Diceros bicornis minor: one gene and its partner. The main gene of each other region encodes a partner of the protein of the gene in region 2 in a complex. Links are inferred from orthologs where the notes say so. Each region holds a gene or a part of one and is shown on either strand. Other genes may lie near its edges. The genes, in order: NUDC and DNAJB1.

Region 1 (9,220 bases), on a different chromosome or scaffold from region 2:
TTGATAATTTCTACTTTGTGTAATTCCTATCAAAAAAGAAAAACATGCATGGAGCATTTATAATTGCATAGCCTGCATATTTCTTATACAAGAGAACTTCCTTTTTTGAGTTGGTGTCAATATGAAATGACAATTTCGTGATGATTGAAAGAATTTTGCACAGATTGGCTTCTTGATCCACACAAATTTTTTTCTCCTCCACCACGCACGTAATTCTAGGTGTCTTGGGAATAATTCATATTGGGAAGTGGGATAGAGTGGGAAGAAACAGTGGTTTTTAAACAATTGTAGTTTTAAAATTTTATCTTTGCAAATTAAAAAGAAAAAATATATATGTATTTGACCCTAAGAAGACGTTGCTGGGGTCTCTCCCAGTGCCTTGGATGGGCCCGTGCAGGCCCTGGAATTCAAGCCTCATTAGCCTCACAGAAAATCTGCCTCTAATAGTGCCTTTCCTGGGTGCTAGTGAGACTCAAGTGAGGTGTTTGTGAGGACACACGTGCCTGGCACACAGCAAGTGCTCCATAAAGGAGGGAAATTGTCCCTATTATTGTTGTTGCTTTTTTACCCTCATTTCCTAGAGGATGAGGTTACAGAGGAGGAGACCCAGAGAAGGGAGGAGACCCCTCTGTGGGGGTCACGGTAAGGCTGGGCTGGAAGCTAGGTCTCCAGGTTTTAAGTCTTGCGTTTTTTGCACTGTGGGGAACTGTGTTTTCTGATTCCTGTGTATGGCCTGAAGACCAGGGTGCTAGTCCTGGAGGCCCTGGAGGGTGAGGAAAGGCCTCAGCTGGGATCTCTATAGCCCAGAGCCTGACTGGGGCCACTCACTCAGAGAAGTAGGAGGCCTCTGTGGGAGAAAATGGTCCATCAGCTGCCCTCTGCCTAGGCCCTGCCCTCAGTCTAAAGGAGGAGACATAGGTCAACCCTCAGGAGACCCCAGTCTAAAGGGGGAGACACAGCTCTGCCCTTGGGAACCCCAAATCTAATTGGGGTGACACAGGCCAGCCCCGAGGAGGCCCCATTCTGAGGAGGGAGAGACAGCCCCGTTCTCAGTAGCTCTAACAAGGGAGCCAGGACGCCACATCAGTGGTGGGCGGGAATGCTCAAATGGTACGGGGGGCTAAGGAGCTGGAATTTGGAAGACTTTCTGGAGGAAAAGTTCATGACAATGCTTTCCCATCTGTACAGCACTCTACGGTTTACCAAGTACTTTCACAACAATTATTTCAGTTAATCTTCATGCAACAATAGGATGGGGGTGTTACTGTCCAAGCAGGAACAATAATCATCAACATCCTAAGAATGATAACAAGTGACATTTATTGAGCACCTACTGTGTGTCAAGCACTGCATTATCTGTAAAATTAAAGGACACTCCATAAGATAATGTATGTGAAAATGCTCTGCAATCCTATGCCCAGGATGCACGTTTGTTTTTGTTGTGCACCGAGTCCTCAGACTAATTGAAGGGGCAGCTGGGAGATCCTGGGCTGCAGGGGGCATGGGTTAAGCATTGGAACTGGGAGTCAGAGAGCCAGCACTGGGCACCTTTTCGTTTCCTGAACATGTCATGCACCTTTGTGCCTCCCAGCTTTTGCCCATGCTGTTCCCCCACCTGGGATGCCTTTCCCTTACCCTGTCTGCTTGGTAAGCTCCTGGTCACCCTTAATGGTCTAGCTCAAACATTACTGCTCTAGTGCAGGTTTCCTGTCTTGCCCTCTCCACCTGTTCGGAAGAATAAATTGCTCCCTCCCTGAGTTCCCTGTCATCTAGTCCACACCCTTCAGAGAGCACTTAGCACGGTTGGTGTAATCAGCCACTTGCCTGCCATTAGTGGTGTTCAAATGTAGATGGGGTCAGAGGTCACTAGGGGAGACTGATTGGTCACCAAGAGGGGGACATTCATTATCTTAGTAAATTCACCAGGGTCCAAGATCAGGCCTTGGTTTCTCAGGGAAGAGTCACATCAAATAACCGTCTGGGGCTGATGTATAAAATCAGAATGCCAATTCAGGGAGACAGAACTCTAAGGTGAAGTAGGTTAGTGTGTGCACTCTGGAGACAGGCTGCATGGGTTTGAATCCTGGTCCTACCTTTTCAGCTCTGTGACCTTGGGCACAAGACTTCACTTGTCTGTCCCTGTTTTTTCATCTCTCAGATGGGGACAGTAACATAGGAGCATTGTGTTAAGTCAAGTAATGTTTGTAAAATGTTCAGTACACTACTGGGTACTTAATAAGTCAATAAATTTTACCAATATTTATTGATAAGTTATGTAATGAGATGCAATAGTATCAAGCAAAGACCATTTGTCCATTCTCCAGATATTTACTGAGGGTCTACAACATTTGAGACTCTGAGCTGAATGTTTGGATGAATCAGACAAGCTCTATCTTTGATTATGTTTATATTCCAGTGAGAGGAGATGGATGTAGAACCAAAATTTCTTAATCATATATTTCAATTGTAGTAAGTAATTACAGAGGATGAGCACAAGGCACTTTGAAAGTAAACACATGGAGATGGAGAATTGCTCTGTATATCAGGGTCAGTAAAGGCCTCACAGAGGAAGGGCATTTGGGTTGAGACCTGATGGATGAAAACAAGTTGGCTGGCAAAGGCCTAGGAACTAGGACAGCGCATTCTGGGAAGTGAAAGCCGCCAGTTGGGAGGGAGCCTGGTGAGTGAAGGCAAGTGTGGGACAAGATGAGGCTGGAGAAGTAGGCAGGGCCTTGACAGTGTTGCTCCTCAGAGGCCATGGTTGGGAGTTTGGAATTTATCCTGAATGCAATGGCAATCCGTGAAGGGCTAATTTTAAGCAAGGGAGTAACAAGATCTGGCTTATCCTTTAGAAGGATTGCTCTGGCTGCTGGGTGGAGGATGGACTACAAAGGGACAAGAACGGAGTAAGGAGACCAGCTAGGAAGCTATAGGAGTAGTTCGAGCAAGAGATGATGCTGGTTTATACTGGAGTAGTAACAGCACCTTGCTTCGCATGGCTAGGTGAGAAGTGGAGAGAATCAGGATATATTTTGGAGGGAGAGCTGACAGGACTTACTAATGGATAAGATAAGGCTAGATTTTGGCTTGTGCAAATGGGTAGATGAGTGGAGGTTTGGGCTTTGGCAATCATTGCTTGAAGGGGCCATTTAACTCTATGGAGAAGACTTCAGAAGGACTTAATGTGTGTGTGTGGGAGTATCAGTGTTGGCCATGTTAGTTTTTTTAAAATAATAATTCTTTTTTTTTTTTTAAAGATTTTATTTATTCATCTTTTCCCCCCAAAGCCCCAGTAGATAGTTGTATGTCATAGAAGGAGCAATCCTTCTAGTTGCTGTACGTGGGACTCGGCCTCGGGTTGGACGGAGAAGTGGTGCCTTGGGGCGTGCCCGGGATCCGAACCCGGGCCACCAGCATCAGAGCGCGCGCACTTAACCGCTAAGCCACAGAGCCGGCCCAATAATTCTTGAATATAATCAAATATCTAGTCAGAGTTCAAAGTGTCTCATAAAGTTACAAATTTTTTTATTGTGGTAAAATATACATAACATTAAACTTACCATGTAACCATTTTTAAGTGTATAGTTCAGTGGCATTAAATACACTCACATTGTTGTGCAGCCGTCACCACCATCCATCATCAGAACTTTTACATCTTCCCAAAGCCATGTGAATTTTGAGATGTCTGTCCAGGAGGTAGGTAGATACATGAAGCTGGAGCTCAGGAAAGGTCTGGGCCAGAGATGTCATGAGATCACCTACAGAGAAAGTGCAGAGAGAAAGGAAAAGAGCAGAGGGCAAAGGATGGAGCCCCCAACATTTGCAAGTGTGGGTAGGACAGGATGTGAGAAAGAGTGTTAGTGAGGCAGGAAGAAAACCAGGTAAGTGTGGTGACACAGAAGCTCTATTAGTTTGCTAGGGCTGCCATAACAAAATACCACAGACTGAGTGACTTCAACAGCAGAAATTTATTTTCTCACAATTCTGGAGGCTGGAAGTCCAAGATCAAGGTGTTGGCAGGTTTGCTTTCTCCTGAGGCCTCTCTCTTTGGCTTGCAGATAGCTGTCTCACACGGCTTTTCCTCTGTGTGCTCACAAGTTCCTGGTGTCTCTTCCTCTTCTTGTAAGGACACTAGTCATATTGGATTAGGACCCCGCCCTTATGAATTCATTTAACCTTAATTACCTCTTTAAATGGCCCTATCTCCCAAAACAGCTACATTGGGGGTTAGGGCTTTAATTTATGAATATGGGGGGAACACAATTCCATCCATAAGAGAAGCCTAAGGAAAAAAATTGTTTATAGAAGGAAGAAGGGGTCAACTGTGTCAAATGCAGCTGAGAAGTCCAGCGAGACAATAGTGGTCCACTGGTGTTGGCAACATGTAGGTCATTGTAACCTTGGTCAGAGTCTTTTAAGAAAAGGCTGATTAAATTGAGGAGAGATGGAAAGTGAGGAAGTGGAGAAACAAGTATAGAAATCTTTTCAAGGTTTGCTGAGAATGAGAATTGAAAATTGGGGCGGGGGCCGGCCCCGAAGCTTAGCAGTTAAGTTCACTCGCTCCACTACTGGTGGCCCGGGTTCGGATCCCAGGCATGCACCGACACACCTCTTCTCCAGCCATGGTGAGGCTGTGTCCCACATACAGCAACTACAAGGATGTGCAACTATGACATACAACTATCTACTGGGACTTTGAGGAAGAAAAAAAAAAAAGGAAATTGGGGTGGTAGGTGGAGAATGTAGAGTCACAAAATAGTAAAAAAATAAGTGAAATTAAAGCAAGTTTGTAAATTGAAGAGAATGATCCAGAAGAAAGAAATTTGTGATTCAGGAGATTAAAAAAAGGATAATTGCAAGGACAGAATGCTTGAAAAGGCAAAGATGTTGAAATTCACTGCAAGAGGGGAGGGGCTGGCTTCAGATAGCTGGGATCTGTGCCCCCCACGTTAACACGAGTGAAGGTCGAATATCCCACTCATTACATACTTTACAGGGCCCAATGCAAAATGAAAATGTGGGGGTCTCTGGTTCAAAAATTATTAAGAATTTTAAGACTGCAGCAGAAGAGTATTAAACCAAGCACCCAGCCCTTCTAACCCCAGCCCTCAGGACCACACAGTTTGTATGCCCATGAAGCCCGCCTTGGTCGAGTAGGTGATGAGGCGGTTGGTAGGCTGTCCTTTGGGCAAGTCCCTCCTCCTCTCTGGGCCTCAATTGCTTCATATAAAGGATTGGAAGAGATGACTAAGGACACTTTCAGCTTCACCCTTCTACAAGCTGGGAGGTTACTCTCAAGGAGTAGGAGCAAAGTTCATACCTTTGCAACTTCCAACCCCGCTAGCTTTGAGCCCAGAGCTTTCTGGAAGGCTCTAAAGCATCCAGTGACCATAGCAACTCACGCCAAACTCCTGGGCCCTCGGCTCCTCCCACCGCTTCACGGACGCGCTCGTTGATTGGCTCACCAAGTTGACCAATGGCCGGTGGAGCGGGCTGTTTGCCGCGCGGTCAATGGCCACGGGCCCGGAGGGAGGCGGGAAGAGAAGGCGAGAAGGCGGAGCTGGGCGGCGGGGAGCCTGCGTGTTTCCGGCTCCGCTGCGGAAGGCGCAGGATCGGAGCCGTTGGGCCCGACGCGACGCGGAGGAGCAGGGAGAGCGCGGGACGCGAGTGAAGAGCTCGGATCTGTGAGCGTGCCTGGTGGCCGGCGCGATGGGCGGAGAGCAGGAGGAGGAGCGATTCGACGGCATGTTGCTGGCCATGGCGCAGCAGCACGAGGGCGGCGTGCAGGAGGTAACGGCCCGCGCGGCGTCGGCCCGGCCTGGTCCAGCGGCGCCTGCCCACTCGGGCGGCCCGAGCCACGCTCCCTCCGCCCTAATCTGCCTTCGAGGGCTGAGTCCCACCCCTGGGCCTCACGGGCTTCTGGGATCCCGCCACATTCTCACCGCATCCCAGCTTCCGGTCTGGCCTCCGCGCTGCGCGACTTGCCCCCTTCGTATCAGTCTTGGGCCTCCGGCGCTCCTCAGTAGTAGTTCCTATCTTAGCAACTCCGGCGTCCCTGAACCCGTCCCTGGAAAACCCTCAGAGTCTTTGGATTCACACTCCTGCAACCCACCCCGTTCCCGCCCTTCCGGCTCCATTGCCCCTCTGATGGCCGCCCCGAAGAGCATCCCTTAGGACGAACCATCCCAGACGTTGAGATCTGCATCTACCACGACTTGGAGCGAACCGAAGAATGGGTGCAAAGAATGTGTGCCGTGGGGGGGGGGGGCGGGCGGGGTGATAGTAGCACATGGTCTTTTTAGGCCTTGAATGGGGCAGTAGGAGGCCTGTGTTCACAATTGGTTTCCACCACCTCCCAACTTGGGACCTTTCCACATCTCCAAGCCTCAGTTTCTTTGAGATAGAGCTACAAAGCCCTATTTCCTGAATATTTGTAGGACAGTAGTAGTAGTGTCTTGAAGTGGAGAACACTGAGGAATTCCCGGCAGTCAGGCGTGTTCATTCAAGTGTTTGTTGAGTGATTGATGTGTACCAGACACTCACTGGACTGGGTGTCTGGGGATATGTGAGGATACAGACATGAGCAGAAACCTGTCCTTGCCCTGATGGAGCTTAGAAAGAGCTTTTCAAAAGCATAATTCATGCATAGTGACCAGACACACATAGTGTATGAACGATAAGGACCAACCAGCATAGATTCTGGAGTTGGGTTTTTGGATCAGAAACAGAAGGTTACACATAGAAAAGCCTATCAAGATAAGTCTAGAAGTGTCATTCTATAAAGAAATTGAAGGAACTTGCCCAAGATCATCCAGAAGGCTCTTGATCTAGAGGGGACCAGACTCCTTAGGCCAGCGTGCTTTCCACAGTCCATTGCCCATTCTGTGTCTCGCTGGGGACAAGTTTTTATTGAGCTTTTCCTTCTCATTCACTCAGGTGCTTGTGGTGACCAAGGACTCCTAAGCCCTTTGGGGTGGGAAGAGTGTTACTAATTTGCAAGTGTGAAAGGCTCCCTCCCCCACCCCCTAAATTGTTGACACAAAACTGGATTTGAGAGTGAGTTCATTTTTGAGTGAATTGAAAAAGTGCCTAGAAGCAGGAATTGAAACCATTGAGATAAGTTCTAGCATCGGATTTAGAACCACTCACTTGGGCAAATAAAAAGGCTTATATGTGCTAGCCCTAGGTCACCACTAGATCTCGTCATTCAGCAGAAATTCTGCTGAGCATGTACTCTGAGACAGATCTGGTGCCAGGCATTGGGGATGTAGACAGAATAAGCCTACTTGTGAGGAGTTAACTCTTTGGTAGGGGGTCTCTTGCTCTGGGCCAGAGACTGTTAAGGATCTCACCTCCATTACCTCGTTTGATCCTCACAAGATCTGTAGAAGTAGGTCCTGCTGCTGTCCTGTTTTGCAGAATTAAGAAACTTCTTCAGGGTCACAGAGCTGATGTATGTCAGTCTGATATTCAAAACACATGCCCTTAACCACTTGGCTAGACTGGTACCCAGCCAGAGTTAGTTGGTCTTAATCTTTGAAGTGGCTTCGTTTGTTCCCTTCCTCCTACCTCTGTCCCACTAACTCGGCCACTGCCCCTCTGGATAGGCTGTTTACCATCTGGAGAGGAAAGGTGGGCCCTGGTGTTTCAAGCCCTGGATGCAGAGGAGTGGTCCATACCTTCAGGCTGCTTCTAGCGCCACAAGGAATATGAAACACAAACATACAAACAAGAAATGAGAAATCTGCCCTTCATGTGATCTAGATAAGGTCAGGTTAGACTTCCTGGCAGAAGTGACAAAAGTAGGGCCTGTTGAGGAGGATGTTTCCTTAGTTGGGAGGCTCAGGTGTGAAACAGTCAAGTCCTGAGTTTCCTCCTAGGGTAAGGAAGTTGGCTTCTGTGCACTTGAGGGGCTCCCGATATGGCATCTCCACAGTGTCGTTCTTTGTCTTCTTGCAGCTTGTGAACACTTTCTTCAGCTTTCTTCGGCGCAAAACAGACTTTTTCGTTGGAGGAGAAGAGGGGATAGCAGAAAAGGTGAGTGTTGGGAGCCACTGTCGCTTGGGCAGCTCTTCTTAGAAGAAAAGCTCACCTGGCCTTCCTTTGGCATAATAGTAATAATCTTCAGCAGAAGTGAAATGCTCAGGGTGAGAAGTTGGGGAGGGGAAACAAGCTGTCATTTATTGAAGCCCCTCTTCTTGCCAGGTCTTTATCTATCATGTCTCCCATGACCCTTCAGTGGTTCAAGAGGGGCAGGTGTTACTATCCCCATTTTACAAATGAGGAAATTGGCTTGGGGGTGTTTGGCACTTTGTCCAAAGTCTTGAGCTGAGTTGTGAGAGAGCCAGGGTTGGAACCAGAGTCTGTTGTAAAACTGCCTTCTGCCCCTGACACCATGCTTCTTGGTTCCTTTTCCACTGAGGAGGTTTTATCTAATTACTTAGCTGGGAGATGAGAGTAGGTAAATGTTAGAAATTGAGCTCAGAAGACAAGTATAGGAAAACTCAAAGACAACAATCCCAGTCTTCCCAGATGCTGTGACCCGAAGTTCAAGGATTTGGGAATGGTGTTTTGTGGTGCAGGTTCTGAGACCTTGAACTTCCTGCTGTGTACTGAGGTTGTAATTACATTTTTGAAGATTGGTAAATCATGAAGATGTCACCTCATTGAACTATGATTTTTATAACCTTGATATTTGTTTTCACTTAAACATAGTAATAAGGAAACGTAGTAAACATAGAGAAATAGTAACAAGGAGGAGACGTTTTGCAAACTGCTTTCTGTGGTTTTGGGATTCTAACAAGCTGGTATGCTTTGTAATGTTCCTTGATAATCTGAGGCTACTCTGTCATAGACATGTTGGCCTGGGAGTAGGAGTCTCAGGTTCTTGGTCTAACTGTATGGCCACCTTGATTTCCTACCAATTCTTTGGTCCTTTCAATCTTCACATCTGTAAAATGGAAGAAGGTGGCTCACTGACTTGTAGGACCCCTTCTGGCTCAAATATTCTTTCTCTATTAGCATTAGCACCTCCTGTTTTTCTGGGGGCCTGACTGCCTTATAATATCAGCAGTCATCATTCATTCATTTAATGAATATTTATTGAACACCTAACACTTTGCCTGTGTTAGGTACTATGCCAAACCCTTCCAGATTGCAGAGGTGAATACAGACATGTGCTTTGTTTTCATGGATCTCACAGGGTAGCCCCCCCCCCCAA
Region 2 (9,027 bases):
TATTGCCAATCTTCCTCTTTTTTTCCCCAAAGCCCCAGCAGCTAGCTATATGTCATAGTTGCACATCCTTCTAGTTGCTGTATGTGGGACGCGGCCTCAGCATGGCCGGAAAAGTGGTGCATCAGTGCGCGCCCAGGCTGAACCCGGGCCGCCAGTAGTGGAGTGTGCACTTAACCGCTAAGCCACAGAGCTGGCCTGCCACTGAATTTTTAATTTTATTGAATCTGAAAAAATTTCCATTCAAAAAAAACACTCCCATTACTACAAAAAACTCCCTTGGACAGCGATGCCCCTAGCCTATTTTCAGTGGTTAAATGGTTTCAGTGGGAAGGGAAAGCCAGTGGTAGGTTGACTTTAAATATGGTGTTACTCAAGTTTTTAGTTTAAGATTTTTTGTAGCAAAATAGCAATACATTGTTTTCAAACTGTGTAATTACTTACCTTATAATAACAACAGTTCCTGAAAAAAAGTTACAAAGTAAGAGCGGTTCCGTGGCCTGTAAGTAAATCCAGCGCAGGAAATGGGCCTTCTCCAGCGCACAACCGACCCTGGGATGGAATCCCAGTTGGGTGTGGCCAGGGCCTGCCCAACACCCAGCCTGTTCCAGCAGGAAACAGTGGAGCCAGATTATGAGGGCAGACCAGACCCTGAGAGACTGGAAGAGTCAAACTCCGGCTTCAACCTTCACGAAAAACAGGCTCTGAATCCACTGGCCTCTTCAGAGGCCTGGATCCAGAGACAGGGTCAACCGACCTTCTCCACCCCACACACAGCTCAGGAAGGGAGACTGCTGCTTCCAGCCCGCCCCCCCACCCCCACGATGCCTTTGGAGGGAGGCCTGCCCCTGCCCCCCCCCCCCAGCAGAGCCCTCAAACAGAGTCACAGGACCACTCCCCCAGGTTTAGCATCAGTCTTTAATGCTGTGGCGCTGCACATCGACAAGTCACACACTTTGGTCTCACGTTGGCAGTGGCAACTGACAATGAATCTAAAGGTCTGAGCACCAGACTGGCCTGCAAGGAACAGACACTTGTCCCGACTCCCCACTCCCAAGGTGCCTTCTCAACTCCACCATGGCCCCATACAGGCAGCAGCTGCCGACGACTTGGTCTTTCTGGAATGCACACTGTCTTTACACAGAACTATAAAAACATATTTACAGGCGTTCCACAGTGCTCCTGTAATCAGAAGCAAAGACCCTTTTATCAAAAAGGATTATATCTAGGGCTGTGCAAAATTCAAAAGGATTAGATCCCTTTGAATGAGTCCAAAGTCTATTACAAAAAAAATTACCAGGGTCTCTGGTAAGCCACAGGTATGCCAAAGGATTGCCTTACACAGCAGAATACCTGGTGAGTGCGCACACTCAGCCTTGGGACCAGGGATCGAGAGCACCCCCGACCTTCAGCGGAGAGGTGGCTGCGCCAGTCACTGGCTTGCTCCAGGCCGGCTCCCCTGGTCCTGCTGGAGTGAGAGGTATTACTTGTGGGCGCCAGCCAGGCAGTTCTGCAAACACAGTCTAGGTTCTCAATTTGAGATGACAAAACAGAAAACTGGATTCTTTAGAAGAAGAGCAGGACATGGAAGACAAATACACAACAGACACAAACCCATCACACAGCAGAAACTGAGGACTGTACCAGCTCTGCTGAGGAGGACAACAGGTCGACACCACCTCAGCTGCAAGCCAAAGGCCCACAGAGGGATGAGTCCAGCCGTGGGTCTGGCTCTGGCCCTGCAACAGGGCCTGGAGGAGGGCAGGGGCCCCTCCCTGGAGGGCTGCAGGACCCGGGTGCAGACTGCAACGCCTTTTCCTGTCGTGCCCACCACCTCCTGCCCTATCACTGCAAAAACCACTTCAGTCTAGTGCTCGACTTTCAAAGATTGTAATATATTCTCTGAAACACATTCAGCAGTACGGAGCCCTCCCTGGGCCCTCCCGCCCTCTCAAGGGGCCACAAGTGGTGGAACGGTCCGGAAAGCCTTCAGCTCTGGAAAGGTCCCTGATCAGTCCTCGGAGACACGGTCAGCTATATCGGAAGAACCTGCTCCAGTACGGTTCTTGACGTCTGGGGGATCCTGTCCGGGAAGAGCACTTCAAACTCAATGACGAGATCCCCGCGCTTCTCGGGTGTCTTGGGGAGAGGGAGGCCTTCTCCAGGAACTTTCCGCCGCATGCCAGGCCTGATGACGTCTTTGAACACGACAGGTATGGTTCTGCCGTCCAGAGTGGGGACGTTCACGGTACAGCCACACAGAGCCTCGAGAAGCAAAGGCACAGGATTAGATGGAGTACGCTCCTGCCTTCTCGGCTTTCTGGGCCGTTCCACCACTTCTGGCCCCGTGAGAAGATAAGAGGAAGAGAAACTCTTCAGCTAAATAAAGAGCCACCAGGCCTCTGCAACTAAGACCCTGCCGCCACATCTCCCCAGGTCACCAGCACGGACGCCCCAGAAAGCCGAGCCCTGTCTGTCCGTTCCTGGTGCCTCCCCAGCCTGTCCCACACCAAGTGCTCAGAAACGCCTGGCAACCCAATACTGCACGGTTTCACCGGCAGCCCCTCCCTCCACCGACCCGCCACCCAGAGCCCTACCTCCCGGAGGCTGATCCGGGCCGGGTAGATGACGTCGGAGCCGTCCCTCTTGAAGACGTTGTGCGGCTTGTCCCTTAGAACAAAGACGATGTCGGCCGGAATGTTGGTGGAGGTCTGGTCGCCTTCCTTGGGGAAGGTGATCTTGGTCCCTTCCTTCCACCCGCGCTTCACTTCGATGGTCAGGATTTTGTCTTCGTTGCGAACGCTCTTTCCATCGGGGTTCAGCCGCTTGTGGGAGATTTTCATCTTCTTGGTACAGCCGCTATAGATCTCTTCGAGTGACACCCTCAGGTCGTGGGTGACGGGGGGATCTTGCTTCTTTCGGCTGGGCTCCTGGGCAGGGCGGGAGCGGCCCAAGTTCACGTTGGTGAAGGCGCCCATGCCCATGGGGAAGCCGGAGAAAGGATCGTCGATATCCATGCCTTCCTCCCCGTTGCGCTGCCCGAAAAAGGTGTCAAACGGATTCCGACCACCGAAGAACTGGGCGAACATGGCATGAGGATCTCCATGGAACGTGTAGCTGAAAGAGGTGCCGTCAGCACCCCCGCTGCTGCCGCCGCTGGGGCCGCCGCCCTTGAGGCCTGAAAAGCAAAACGGGAAGCGGTCAGACGGCCGGCACGGAGCTGCCCCCTCCCGGAGCGCCCCGGAGAGAGCTCGTGAGCCGCGGGGGTTCTCTCAGCTCGGGAGGGCCGACCAGACCGACGCCGCAAGGCCCCGCCCGCCCTGCAGCAGCGCCGCCCGCCCGCCCCGCCCCGCCCGGCTCAAGGTCCGAGACGGCCACCTCCGGGCTCCCGGCCCGCCCGCTGCCCGCCCGCGCGCCCCCGCGACAACACGGCATCTCACGGACGGGCCGCCGCGCCGCGCACGCAGAGGCGGCGGGAGCTCTGGAGGGGCCGCGCCGGGCGGCGCAGCACGGCGCCCCGGCCCTCCGTCCCCGCGGCCGGCCCGCAGGCCAGCCTGAGCCGCCCAGGACGGGCGGACCACCTGCGGGCGTCCCTGCTCCCGGAGACGCCCCCCGCCCAGGGAGCCGGGCCGGCCGCCGAGGGGCGGGCGGAGGCGCGGGGAGAGTGGCCCGGCCGTGCTGCAAGCTTCTGGGCGAGCCGCGCGGCCAAGCTCCTCCCGCCCGCGCCCACCCCGGGGCGGAGGCGCGCGGCGCAGGGCGGAGGGCAGGGACCGGGGGTCGGGGACGCGCCCCCGCCCCGCGCCCGGCAAACGGCGGCCCGGCACGCACCTTCCTCGCCCAGGCGGTCGAAGATGTCGCGCTTGCGCGGGTCGCTGAGCACGTCGTAGGCCTCGGCGATCTCCTTGAACTTCTCCTCGGCGCCCGGCTCCTTGTTCTTGTCGGGGTGGTAGCGCAGCGCCTGGCGCCGGTAGGCGCGCTTGATCTCCTCGTCCGACGCGCCGCGGGCCAGGCCCAGCGTCTGGTAGTAGTCCTTGCCCATGACCCGCGGCCGCCACCCGCCCGGCTCCGCCGCCCCCGCCGCCTGGCCCGCACTCTATATACGCGTCCGGCGGAAGCTTCCAGAGCCCGCCAGCCCCCTCCAGAACCTTCTGCCCCGCCCCCGCGCCGCGCCCACCAATCGCCGCCGCCCTGGCCGCGACGCGCGACATCCGGGGCGGGGCCGCGCCGCCAACGGCCGCCCGCGCGCGGCCACGCCCCTCCCCTCGCCGGCAACGCCTCCCCGCGGCGCGCGCACCCGGCGGCGGAGGCCCCGCCCACCCTTTGCGGGGAGCCAATGGCGGCCTTGTTTCCCGCCCGTTTCCCGCCCCCTGCCCGGGTCGGTGGGTTACGGCGCGCGGCTCCGGGAAGGGGCGGGGCGGGGTCGGCCACGCCCCTTCCCCGGGAGACCTTAGGCCCGCCGCGCCCGGCCCTCCCGGTGACTGCGGGGGTGCCTCACCTCGCCCTGCCCCGGGTTCCGCTTCCGGGAACAGGCGCGCCCACCCGCCCGCTCCTCGCGGCGGCGGGGAGAACGCACCCGGGGCCGGGACTGTCCCTGTGCTGCCCCCGCAGGCCCCCGCAGGGCGGCTGCCTCCCCGACCGTCCCCCGCGCCCTTCCTTTTATCGCGCCTCGAGACCGGCTGCCGCTGGAAGCGCGATTGTCGTGTTCCTCGGTGTTCCCGCCGGGTGTCGCCTCCCCCCAGCCCGCGTCCCGGCGGCGCTCCGCCCCGTGCCTGCAGCGGCGCCCGTCCCGGGACGCGCCAGGGGTTCGGCCGTTCCTAGCGCGCTCGCCGCTCTTCTCTCCCCGCCACCTTGATGATTTGGGGGACGTGGGGCGCCACACGCCCCTCGGGGCCTCTCTCGCCTCGCCTGTGGGCCACGGGAGAGCCCAGGACAGGGCCGAGGGCGGCGAGCGGGCCCGGAGGAAGGGGCGGGGGCCGGGCCCGGGCCCGGGGGCGGCTCCCGGAAGACCCGCGCGGGAGGTCAGGGCCGGGGACGCTGGCTCCGGAGCCCACAGCGCCTTCCCTCCCGGTTCCCGCGCTTGCTGGCCGCGTCGCCTCGGGCTGTCCCCGGGCCGCGCCGGCCTCAGCTCCCGCCTCTGTGCGGCGAGGGTAGCAGCTGTAACCGCTCGCAGGGCTGGGAGGCCGACCTGAGTCAACGTCCCTCCAGTGCCCAGGGCAGGCCTGGCCCAGAGGGAGCGCTGTCACAGGCTGACCAGCCGCCACGAGTGGGGGCCGCTGGGCCACGCCCCCCCCGGGCAGCACCGCAGCGCCAAAGCTTGTGGTGGTCTCTGCCCTCGTGCGGGCCGCGACTCCCGAGAAAGAAGACCGTGGCCTTCGCTGCTGGCCAGCAGGGGATTCCCGCCCTGCCTGGCCACTCACTGACCCCAGGGAAACCCCAGGACTCTGGACTAGGACACACACAGGCCAACCTGGGAGGACGGGTCTGGGCGGGGAGTCCCCGGGCCTGCACAGCGGGGAGAGAATTCGGTTTCTCAACAGGTACATAAACAGCAGGAAAGTCGTCACAGGGAGAAAGCAGAGCTGGTGGGCGTCCTCGCCCTCACGCACTGGTCTGTTGCTATACAGACTTAACGGCGAGTCATGAGTGTGGCGGCCTCGGAGGTCTCCCTCGGCTCTGGGCGTCCTTGTGTTTGTGGGCAACCTTAGGGCCGAGGGGACTCTCCCTTTCCTGAATAAGCCTGGGTCATGTTCAAGAATTTTAAACTGTTTAACCATCCCCTCTTCCCCCCATAAAAAAAAGCAAAACCCAACACCTCTCCTGATGGCTGTGCTTCCTTGACTGGGACGCTCCGTGGGATCTTCAGGTTGTTACTGGAAAAGGGGCTTCTGCAGGAACCTCAGCAGATCTTGAGCCCTCGGCTCAGAGAAGATGTGATGTTTATTTTATGCATCAACCTGGCTGGGCTGTAATACCCAGTTCAATTAAACTCTAATCTAAGTGCTGCTGTGAAGGTATTTGGTAGATGTGGTTAACACTACAGTCAGTTGACTGTAAGTACGGGAGATGACCCTCCATAATGTGGGTGGGTCTCGTCCAATCAGGTGAAAGGCCTTAAAGGCAAATACTGAGGTTTTCCTGAAGAAGAAACCTCAGCTCCTGGCCATGAGTTTCCAGCCTGCCAGTCTGCCCTATAGGTTCCAGACTTGCCTAGCCAGCCCCCACAGTCGTGCAACCTAGCATCTTGAAATACATCTGTTAACACACACACAAATGTCCTACTGGTTCTGTCTTTGGTGGCACCCTCACCGACACAGGAACTAAGCAGGGCAGTCTGGAGTCAGCCGGCCTCAGCTCAAGTCCCAGACCCACTATTGACTTATTTCCTGTCTGTATGATCTTGCACAACTCGCCTGGTCTCTCAGAGCACCAGGTGTGTCCTGCATAAAATGAGGACCAGAGTAAATCCTACCTCCCAGGCTTCCTATGCATATGAAATCGACAGGGCCCAGGAAAGGAACATTATAACAAGAGCTGACACCGACTCGGCCCTACTACCTGCCCAGCCGTTTCAAAGCGCTCCATGCGTATTAACTCATTTCATCCTCACAATAATCCTATGAAGTTGGCCCATTGTTACCTCCACTTTACAGGTGGGGAAACGGAGGCTCTGAGCGGTCACGTGACTTGCCTGAGGTCACCCAGTGAGTGAGATGCTGCAGTGTAAAGTGTTTAGCACACTGAGTGCTTACAGTAAGCACTCAGCTTGTGTAAGACGTGATTCAGATGATAAAACCTTAATTAAAAAAAAATGCAGCACTCTTTTCAACTCCTCTTCATCAAAAAGACCTTCGAAAGCACCGCAGCCAGACGAGCCAGCAATCCCACCACTGGTGGAATACCCACGTGAGATCAAACCTGCGCTCGCATGAAAACCCGAGAGCAAATGTTTACGGAGGCTTTATTTGTAATTACCAACATCCCGGAAAACCTTCAATGGGGGAATGGATGAACAAACTGTGATCCAGCCATATGATGGAATACTATTCAGCCATTAAAAAGGAATGAGCTACTGATACAAGAAACAATGCAGATGGACCTCAAATGCATTATGTTAGTGAGAGAAGCCAGGCGCAAAAGGCTATTTACTGTGTGCTTTCATTTTATAGGACCTTCTGGAAAAGGCAAAAGTATTGACTCAGAAAGTGGATCAGTGGTTGCCAGGGACTGGGAAAAGGATGATGGAAATGTTCTATATCTTGACTGTGGTGGTGGTTACACAACTGCATTCAGAACTGTACACTAAAGAAAGGTGAATTTTACTGTATATAAATTATACCTCAATAAAAACACAAACATCCATGGAATTAAAAAAAAAATAACGAAAGTCGAGAGAGGGTAGGGCTTGGGAAACTTCTCTCTGGGGCCCCTGACACAGCGGAAAGTTGCCAACCAGCCCAGTCTTGTCTGCTCTTGGCTTCACCTTCCCTCACGCAGCTCTGAACCAGCTGGATCACAATCACACGCCCCAAAACAAGCCAAGCCAGGTTCTGGGAAAAACCAAGATCCTGCCTTACTTACATGGGGGAAATACAAACGGAGCTTGTGGGATGGAGAGCAAACACACCAGATCTTTGATGTGCGAGTGACTGCTGGTTCCCCCAGATCCGAGGCCTGAGGAGGCCCCACTCATCCTTCAGCGCTGCCACAGCGCAAGACCTTTCTGGAATTTCCCCTTCAGAAACGGCTTTAAGGGGCTTGTTCCAGTTGGTTCAGCAAACACCAAATGTTATCTGCTCCTCACTCCTCTGACTCAGCCGCTCTGCTGGGGATGCTGAGGACACGGAGCAGGATCTGGCTGTCCCTCCCAACAGGCACCGTCAGAGCAGCTGTACAGTGCCATGAACAGCTTGAATCAAGTGGCCAGTCTTCATTCCAAGGGTGGATTTGATGTTTGCCAATAGCCTGGTTACTGGAAGCCCGATGAGGCCAACAAGGGGTGCTCACGCTTGCAATACTCATCAAAAACAGAGAGGAATTCTCGTCTTGAGGCCAGATCCTGCCTTTCTGTGAGCTCCTCATGGGTGGAAATCATTTGTACGCTCTGGCTGGCACGAAGTGTAGTAGGTTCACAAAATGATCGGGTGCCTGTTGAGTGAGTGTGGGCCTCAGAAAAGCAGTCTCGAAAGGGAAATTCCAGAATGTTCCAGGTCTGTAGGAATGTGCATGGAATCTCTCCCAACATCTATTTGGACACCACACACCTTCCTCAGTTGGAACCCAGTGATACAAAAGACACACCCACTCAGTCCACACTGGAGAAGCTGCAAATGGGCAGAACTGGCACAGTAGAAAAACGTGTCTAGATTTTTGGGGTTTGACCCTGCTCCCTCAGCACCTATGACTAGACACCTCAAGCAACGCAAGTTGGTAGGATTTTAACTTGCAGCCTCTGAGTGAGTACCCGCCTTGTCCCCCTCAATGAGGCGGGGACTGAGGCCTGTGGGGACACAAAGGGACTCAAGATACTGTGAGCCCCAAAACTACCAACAAGAAAAGATCTGTGCCGGGGCCAGCCCGGTGGCGTAGTGGTCAAGTTTGCACACTGCGCTTTGGCGGCCCGGGGTTCATGGATTCAGATCCCAGGTTTGGACTTGCACACCACACATCAAGCCACACCGTGGTGGTGTCCCACATAGAAAACAGGGGAAGACTGGCATGGATGTTGGCTCAGGGCCACTCTTCCTCACTCCCCCTCCAAAAAAAAACCCTGTGCCTTTGAAAGCACAGTTATAAAACGTGTTTATGTTTTCTTCTGTTTTGCCTAGATAGCCCTGGTGAAAAACATAGTGAGTTTCTGAAGACCACAGCCTTGGCTTCCTTTGCTTGGAGATAGGGATCCCCAAAGCTGTAGCTTCAGAAGTTTCCAGAACCTGGATGACTAAGTGTTAAGCACTGACTCACCCTTGCCCCACCCTGCTCCCCTATGAATCATGGATCTACCTTTGAGGACTTTCCACCATGTCCCAGATG

What was found.
Region 1: the proteins of DNAJB1 (region 2) and NUDC are in contact, whole or in part, in a crystal structure (PDB 7NDX), measured with the Homo sapiens proteins. The link is inferred for Diceros bicornis minor from reciprocal best matches to the Homo sapiens genes DNAJB1 and NUDC. Residues at the interface, in NP_006136.1 of Homo sapiens: His166, Lys181, Lys182, Met183, Lys184, Ile185, Ser186, Asp201, Lys202, Ile203, Ile235, Phe237; in NP_006591.1 of Homo sapiens: Pro102, Gln103, Ile104, Lys105, Glu106, Leu107, Ala112, Leu115, Gln116, Ile119.

Annotation. Positions count from the first base shown.
Region 1 is NC_080752.1:42,672,552-42,681,771, forward strand, and holds the start of NUDC (nuclear migration protein nudC), read left to right. Parts: upstream 1-5,615; 5' UTR 5,616-5,709; coding exon 5,710-5,790; intron 5,791-7,959; coding exon 7,960-8,037; intron 8,038-9,220. UniProt on the Homo sapiens protein: Plays a role in neurogenesis and neuronal migration. Necessary for correct formation of mitotic spindles and chromosome separation during mitosis. Necessary for cytokinesis and cell proliferation.
Region 2 is NC_080769.1:3,376,328-3,385,354, reverse strand, and holds DNAJB1 (dnaJ homolog subfamily B member 1), read right to left. Parts: upstream 4,080-9,027; 5' UTR 4,037-4,079; coding exon 3,826-4,036; intron 3,176-3,825; coding exon 2,595-3,175; intron 2,263-2,594; coding exon 2,032-2,262; 3' UTR 898-2,031; downstream 1-897. UniProt on the Homo sapiens protein: Interacts with HSP70 and can stimulate its ATPase activity. Stimulates the association between HSC70 and HIP. Negatively regulates heat shock-induced HSF1 transcriptional activity during the attenuation and recovery phase period of the heat shock response.